Linked DNA regions of Oryzias latipes. The protein of the gene in region 1 purifies or fractionates together with the protein of each later gene. This does not show direct contact. Links are inferred from orthologs where the notes say so. Each region holds a gene or a part of one and is shown on either strand. Other genes may lie near its edges.

Region 1 (3,515 bases):
TTCATCCCACATTCCTGAACACGCAGCTCTGTTACCACAGGATACACAACATGTATATGTGCGAGTTAGGAGGGTAAGGCGGAGCGTCGAGTGTGAAGAGGAGGATGAAGGAAATATGAAAACAAGCCATAAAAATCTGCTGGACATCATTCATTTGGTTCCGTTTCTTTGTCTTTGCTGAAACCAGTTTGCTCGGTCTGACTTTATCGGCTTGCTTTAAAATAAAAACTCTCCATGTAAAAAAAAAAAATGAAAGGAGAATTACAAGGCAGTTTATTCAGTTTCAAGTTTAAATAATGAGAACAATAAAGTGGGCTTGTTTGAGATTCAAACACATGAAAACCGTCTGAGGCGTTTCAGGATTCATCCCAGCAGGGAGTCAAACACGCCTGAACTGCGGAAGGAGAACTCGACTGTTTACCTTCCTAAAGGGAGGCCACTCCTCCTCCTCCTCCTCCTCCTGCTGCTGCTGCATTTCTGGGTCATCGCAGGGGTCGTGGGGATCATCGATCGGGTCGCCGTCTGTGTGGAAGACGTTGGCCGTGCTGAGTTTGTACAGTGGAGTCAGAGCAACACCTGAGGCGTCCCAGAAACGAACAGTGCCGTCCTCGTGCCTGCAAGAAGCAGATTTTAGCCCCGGACTGTCCAGTCATGACTCAGCAGATCTGCCTCAATATCTGATTTTGGTAAAGGTCTCATGTTTGAGGTTTCTCATCTAATAGATCAGTGCTACTTTCAATTTAAAAAAATAAATAAGATTTTTTCAAAATAGCAGAGGTTAAACTATTTGACAAAATGATCTCAAACGTCTGCACTTAATTGTAATCTAGTCCATCACCACATCAAATGACGAATATGTTTGTGTGAAAAAAGTCTTTTTTACTTTTGGAGCTTCAAATTTCTTCAAAAAAATTTGATTTCGAACAGAAACGTAGGGTCTAAGCGGCTAAGATGAGTGAGCGTGTGTGCGGACCAACCCTGTCAGCAGCAGCTCCTGTTGTCTGGGTGGGGGTGCCAGGTTCTTCCCTCCACATATTGGCCATTTCTAGACAAACAGAAATTAGGGATTTTATAAGCAGCAGGAGAAATTTACGTGCGACTAAACCAATTTTCGGCTAATATTTACTACGGATGCCGCAATTCTTGAAGCCTACTTTTTACGCCATTGAACCAAATTGTAGGAAAAGTGAATTGTTGCCTCTCTACTGCATTCGTTTGCACAAGTTTATAATGAAAGTGTCAAACACGTGTTGTGCTAAAGTTAATACATTTAATGTTGTTTCATAACAATTGAAACGTTTCTCTTCATTGTCACTTGCTTATTAGGCAATGTGAAAAATAATTTTACTGACTTTTTTAATGTTTTGTCTTACAGAACTCGTATATCGAACGGAAACAAAACTGTGACCCAAAAATCGAGATTTTAACGGAATCATGGGAAAAGTGAATCATAGAATCCCCAGGATTTATTATTCGGCTAACATACTAACTCGCCAATTTTGAAAAACTTCTCAAAACCAATATGGCACTTACCGATATTCTTTTCCCCCTTTCAATTGTATTAACCTTTTACTTTTAAACGTTTAAGAATGGCGCCTTATTTGACTGCTGTAATTTTAAAGTACCATATAAATTAATTTGAGCCAAACAGAGTTGAATATACAGAGAGAAAAAAACAAAAAGAAAAAAAAATTACCATCATCTCTAATCAACCTACGTCACAGAGGTCATCCTCTTTACTAAACACCACTTAGGCACTCTGGGCTCCTTGTGCAAGCCTACCTTGTGTAGATATCAAAAACCGTGGTCTAATATTTGACCAATTAATGTCTTTCAAAAATCATTTTTATCACCTAATTAACAGGTCTAAACTAAGTAAATTGGGAACTAAAGATGACTTGCATTATTGTAATTCATGCTTGTATCTAATATTGTTTAGATTACTGTTATTTCTCTTTTTGCTTGTTTTGATTAATTCAACTGTTGGTACTAAATGCTGCTTGAAAGCTTTTAACAGGAACCAGTAAAAAGGGCTCATTTCATCAGTTTTAAATGCTTTTCATTCTATCCATTTTAGGATTGATTTTACAATTTTAGTTTTGATTCGTAGAGCTCTTAATGAGCAGGCCCCTAATTATGTTTCCTAACTCTTGGTACCACATCTCCAGTCGTCCTCTTTGGTCCTCTGGTCCTACGTAAGGTCCCCAAGACTCTGTAAAAAACTTGAGGTGGCCTCGCGTTTCAAGCAGTAGGATGCCTTGCCCTGATTGTGACCGACAATCAGGGCAAGGCGTATTGGAGTGTAATTTAATGGCCTGAGGGCTTCAGAAAAGGCTTCCTGGGAAACGTCTTGGGACATGGCTTTGTTTTTTAAGAAGTTTTTGTTATTGGTCGGGATCATCAAGGAATATTACTAGAGCACAGAGAGATGCAATTTGGAGAGTAGGTCAACATTTCAGACGCACTCCACGCTGGGAGAAGAATAACACGTTTTAGTTAGTTTAGTTTAGCAATTAGCTAATGTTCATATTTTATGACTGATTTTATGTTTTTGAACAATTATTGGTGTCAACCCCGTCAAAACAACTGTGATTTTGGGCTATATAAATAAAATTGAATGGAACTTATGAATGTAGCAGCGGTTTGTGTGTAATCTGTGTCTAATCAAACAGTTGACGTAAGCTTAAAGACTTGGTAGTATTCAGACAACTTACATCTGCGCTATAAATTCAAACCCTCAGGTCACGTTAATGTGGCTTCATTTTAAGAAGCTGAGAAACTCAGATCAACCAGTTCATGGATTGAAAGCAGTTCTTTTGGATTCTAGTTCTATCTAAAAATAAATGATTTGTTAGTTGACTTACATAAGAAGAATGTATAGAAGCAGAAAGGTCACAAACCATACTGTGTTTAAAAATGTTAAGCCTCTTGCATTGTAAAGAGGAAACTGAATACCTGTTTAAACCGATTTACAAACTAATCCTGACTTTGGCTGATAGACGTTCCTTTGGCTGTTCTCACTCTGTGTGTGTGGCGCCGGCTCTGTTGTGCTTTGCCGGCGTTGATCAGCCGCTCCCACAGCTTGGTGGAGACGTTTGTGACGTGACAGGAGCACGTGATAGCTGACGAGTGAAGGGGAGCGAGGTAAGGAGTGGGCAGCGAGGGCCAACCGGGGGTCAGCAGGTCAATCACAACCAGCTCCTCCTCCAGAAGCACAACGAGAGCCGATGGGTCGTCAAACTCTGAGGGCGGGAAGACAGAAGGCAGGACATTTAAGATCCAAAACAGAATAAAAGTGAAAGGATTTATATCTGCTTGGATTCTTACCTTTGTCGTTGTCCATGTTGTGGACAGTAAAGAAATCGATCACTCGAGATGTGAAGTCCAGAGTGACATGCTCTTTGTCCTGCTGGATGGTTAGACAGTGACGGTCTCCATAGCTGGCTCGTGGCATTCCTCCACTATATAAGATCACCGGGGAACTAGAGAGAAGCAGAGGACCCTATTTGCAGAGG
Region 2 (4,081 bases), on another chromosome or scaffold:
GAGGGAGCATGTTCTGACTCAGACTGTGAGGGTATGGAAAAAAGTGAATAAATTGCAGGCATAGATAAAAACAACATTGACTTAGTTTGCAGCCATTGAAAGTCTGTTTCTATTGTAACGATCCGGCCGGACCGTCACTTTAGTGGGATAGCGAAAGCCAACTGCTCATGAAGTGGTCCTAATGGAAATCTGTCCGTGCCCCATACACCGCACGACCCCTGACAGTCTCAGGTTGGAAGAAACGTAGAGAGAGACAATATTAGCTTTTAAGCAAAAAGCCTGTTCATTCCAGCCAATATACAGCCCAAACAGCATGGATCGTGACTTCAGCTTCCAGCCCTCTGACTCAAGGTTTGACCCTAAGCTCCCCACTTCCCATGAGCCTTAGGGGCTGAAGGCGGGGCTAACCCCCAGGTCGCTACACTATCATCACTGATTTCGGTCGTCCGTCCCCGCTCTTCAACGCTCCCTCCAACCCAAATACAATCTAAACTGTTTTAACCCAAAATGACAAGTGGACTTTATCATGGCTTCACTTCTGCACCAAACTAAAATGAGAGTAAAATCCCTTAAAATTGGTTTCAATGCTTTTCTTGGTCCAATTCACCAAGTTTTCAATTTTTGGGAGCAAGTTAACTTTTTTGCTTTGCCAAAAAGCTAAAACATCTGTTTGCATTTGTCAATGGTGCCAGCTTGAGTCCAAACTTGAGATAAAATGTTTATTCCTGATCTGATTTATTTTATATGATAATTTGATTGTTTTAGCACATTTAAGGTAACCATTTATCGTGATTTTTGCCAACTTTTGCGATATGCGTATTGCACAGCTTATGTTGCGATAACGTTGCATCTGCAATTTATTGGGAAGGGCTTAATAACTTCAAGTAAAAAATATATGTATATTTTTTATTTAGTAGGAAAAAAATATTTATGGTAATAATAATAATCATACTTCATAAATTAAAAGTAAACCCATCACCCAAATTTCCTTTATTTTCCTGAAATGATGGTGTACATTTTGAATCAACGTAGACATTTTTTATTGAAAATGTAAAAAATGTTTTTTGAATGTCTGCCACTTTAAATATTATCCCTAATCCACATTATCTGTCCCTCGACGGTACAGAAATATTGTTTGTATTTATTAAAAGTTTTTCTCATGACGTCCTTGTTCAAAATAGTGATAAATATGAGTCTTATTTTGAAGTTTTAAATGTATTGAAATGTCAACGACTCTTATTTTGAAGGGCGCAGCTTTCCAGGCACTCGGAGGGCGGCTGGGCATTCAGCCGAGAAGAGTCGCAAAGACACAACCGGACGCAGCGCGAGGTCCACGCACAGCGGCAGCTATGAGACGAGAGAAGTTCACGCGCTGAGCCAGGCGGGTTGACAGCCTTCGTTGGACACTTCCGGACCGATATAAACGAACCGGCGCACGCGGAGGAGAACCGGGACGTCTTCTGCTGCTGTCGGAGAAGTGACTGGCGGACGCTTTTTTTTGGGGGGGGGGGATACGCGGCTGCGGCAGGAGGAGCGGAGAGAGAGGGTGTGCTTCGGCGGCTGTCCCGCTGCTAGCGAAACATGAACAAAAACCACCGAGTGCCGAGCAGCCGTTCTTTGAGTGCCGTGGAGGTGAAGAGCAAGGTGATCCCTGGACTCCTTTACCGTTTCCGTTCGATGTGTTTGTGATCGCAACTCCGCGGTCATTAATCTGTCACTCTTGCTAATTTAGCCTGCTAAGTAGCCCGGTACCAGATTAATGATGGCGCAAAAAAACACATGAACAAAATGTTAAACATTTTTGTGTTATTGTTTCCACAACATCGATCGAGACGTCGACGCGCCGCCAAACGTGAGAGTGGCGTCGTCGTTCTTCTCGGTGTAGTTCGAGGGTTTACGTTAACGTCAGTTGACGCCGCGGTGAGCTCGTGTCACCTGTCACCGCTTCCTCCGCCGCTCCCGCCACCCGTTCACTAAAGTTTAGAGCCGGGGTTCTTACCGCTTTTCCCTCCCGGGGGGATGGGGGGGGGGGGGGGGCATTCGCGGGACTTTTCTCATCTTTCTAGTTGATTGAAACTACCGGAGGAAGGCAGGAGCGGCTGCCCCGAACTTAGGGCGACGTCGCCCCTCCCGCGTGCACAGGTGTCATTCGGCCTGCGACAGGCCGGCTCCTTCCGCCAGAGCCTGCTTGTTGCATGATTACACACACCGTTGACAGAATAGGCTCTTTTTTTTAGCGCCTCTAAACTCGTTTTTGTTCATGTGTGCGCATGTCGACACAAACTACAACCGTCCCTCTGTTGATTCTACGGAGTTCTGCTCTACAATTTGTGTTTTGGGAGTTTTATATTTTGTTATTTGGTCATTTTCTACTCATCCCTGGTTCTATTTAGGGTGTCTCCTCCCAAAAACCTGAGCCTAACACACTTCTTTTGGTGTAAACCTGGCCAAGTTGGCACTGAATTCTCATCATCTTTTGTGGAGCTTGGCAACAGTAACCACAACAACCCGTCCGTATTCATCAACATTAGCCAGGAGACATTATAGTACAGAGTCTCTGAGCTGCACTGAAGAGCTCAGACGGCGTGTTAGAATGCAGCTTTTATAAAAAAAAAAAACTGATTAACTCTATTTACTGCATCCATGTTTCATTTAGAAACCCTATTATTCATGTTTTACAGACAATACTGGTAGTTGAACACCTACATGTTCGTATTGTAATTAATGCTGACAAAACTTTATTTTTATTTTTTTTGCGGGTCAGTTTGGTGCAGAGTTTCGTCGGTTCTCTCTGGATCGGTCGAAGCCGGGGCGCTTTGATGAGTTCTACGGCCTTCTGCAGCACGTGCACCGCATCCCCAACGTGGAGCTGTTGGTGGGCTACGCCGACGTGCACGGCGACCTGCTGCCCATCAACAACGATGACAACTACCACAAGGCCATCTCCACGGCCAACCCTCTGCTCAGGCTGTTTCTGCAGAGGAAAGGTAAGAACAGGAAGACTTTGAACTGCTCTGTGCTTGTCTGAGAGGTGAAAACTGCTCACCTGAACAGAAATGATCAAATGTATACAATGCTCTGCTGAAGGTTTCGGGATTTAAAAGGATATTTAAAGAGCCACTCCGATGAAAATGCAGTTTTTCAGCATGTTCTTGTGGCTTTTTTTTGGTGTCGGAGGACATATTCAAAGAACATTTAGCTCAAAGTTGCATTTCTGAGTATTTCTGTGTTCAAATCTATGTGAATCAGGAGCAGACAAAAAATGCTGTTTGAAAATGAGCATCTTTGTGACGCAGAAAATACACTTGGTGAGTGACAGACAAGCTCCCGCTCTGACCTCTCTGCACCAGGGAGAGGAAGCGGGGCGGGGTTGCCCCGTGCTCAGAGGCAAATTTCTAATGAACTACTGCAACCCTGCAGTAAACTATGTCCTAGAAAATGACACAAGTGTTTGGATTTGAGCAAAATTGTGACATAATCATTGTTAAAATACCACCGGGAACGCTTTGAAAATAGATCAAAAGATGGAAGGCGGCTTTAGAAACAGGGGTTTTATTAATTTGTTAAATTGATAATGCATTGGAGAGCCATGTTTAGCTGTAATCATAGATCTGGATGCTTTCCGAAACCTTTTTGTTTGTTTTCCAGCTCTGACCGGAGTATTTCTAGGTTTGAAACTTAAAAAAAAATGTTTGGAAAAATGTCCTCACTTCTTTTTAATACTTTTTTTTAGAAGTAGATGTTTGGATTTTGTGTTCTGCTCCTGTGCTGTTGAGCATTTCCAGGAAATGGTGTTGAAAAATGAGGATTTTTTTTTTTTTTTTTTTTTACCATCTGTCTCCTTGGGGTCAAATTTGACCCTCCTTTCGGGTTTTTAAACTTACTTGGCAACTGGGGAGTTTCCGAGCGTGACCTGTTGAACGTCCCCGCCCCCCTGGGTGTGCTTGATCGGGGCAAACCTCGTGTGTTTAAGCCGTCCCGCTGTGCCATATGACTGTATAGAGGCTAAGCCACTTTGTCAGGAGGAGATTAGTGGGGGTCACCGTGCAGTGCTGCATGGGACGGTGTTTCTATGACACGC

Evidence for each region. Proteins that work in one complex are often made in the same cells at the same time.
Region 2: the proteins of llgl1 (region 1) and pard6b purify together in Homo sapiens (affinity purification with mass spectrometry; 5 studies listed by BioGRID and IntAct, counting the BioPlex papers as one, with this or other methods). This does not show direct contact. The link is inferred for Oryzias latipes from reciprocal best matches to the Homo sapiens genes LLGL1 and PARD6B.

What each region holds. Positions count from the first base shown.
Region 1 is NC_019866.2:18,056,710-18,060,224, reverse strand, and holds part of llgl1 (lethal(2) giant larvae protein homolog 1), read right to left. Parts: intron 3,483-3,515; coding exon 3,328-3,482; intron 3,243-3,327; coding exon 3,022-3,242; intron 1,046-3,021; coding exon 978-1,045; intron 615-977; coding exon 422-614; intron 1-421. UniProt on the Homo sapiens protein: Cortical cytoskeleton protein found in a complex involved in maintaining cell polarity and epithelial integrity. Involved in the regulation of mitotic spindle orientation, proliferation, differentiation and tissue organization of neuroepithelial cells.
Region 2 is NC_019865.2:4,514,972-4,519,052, reverse strand, and holds the start of pard6b (partitioning defective 6 homolog beta), read left to right. Parts: upstream 1-1,267; 5' UTR 1,268-1,581; coding exon 1,582-1,644; intron 1,645-2,764; coding exon 2,765-2,987; intron 2,988-4,081. UniProt on the Homo sapiens protein: Adapter protein involved in asymmetrical cell division and cell polarization processes. Probably involved in formation of epithelial tight junctions.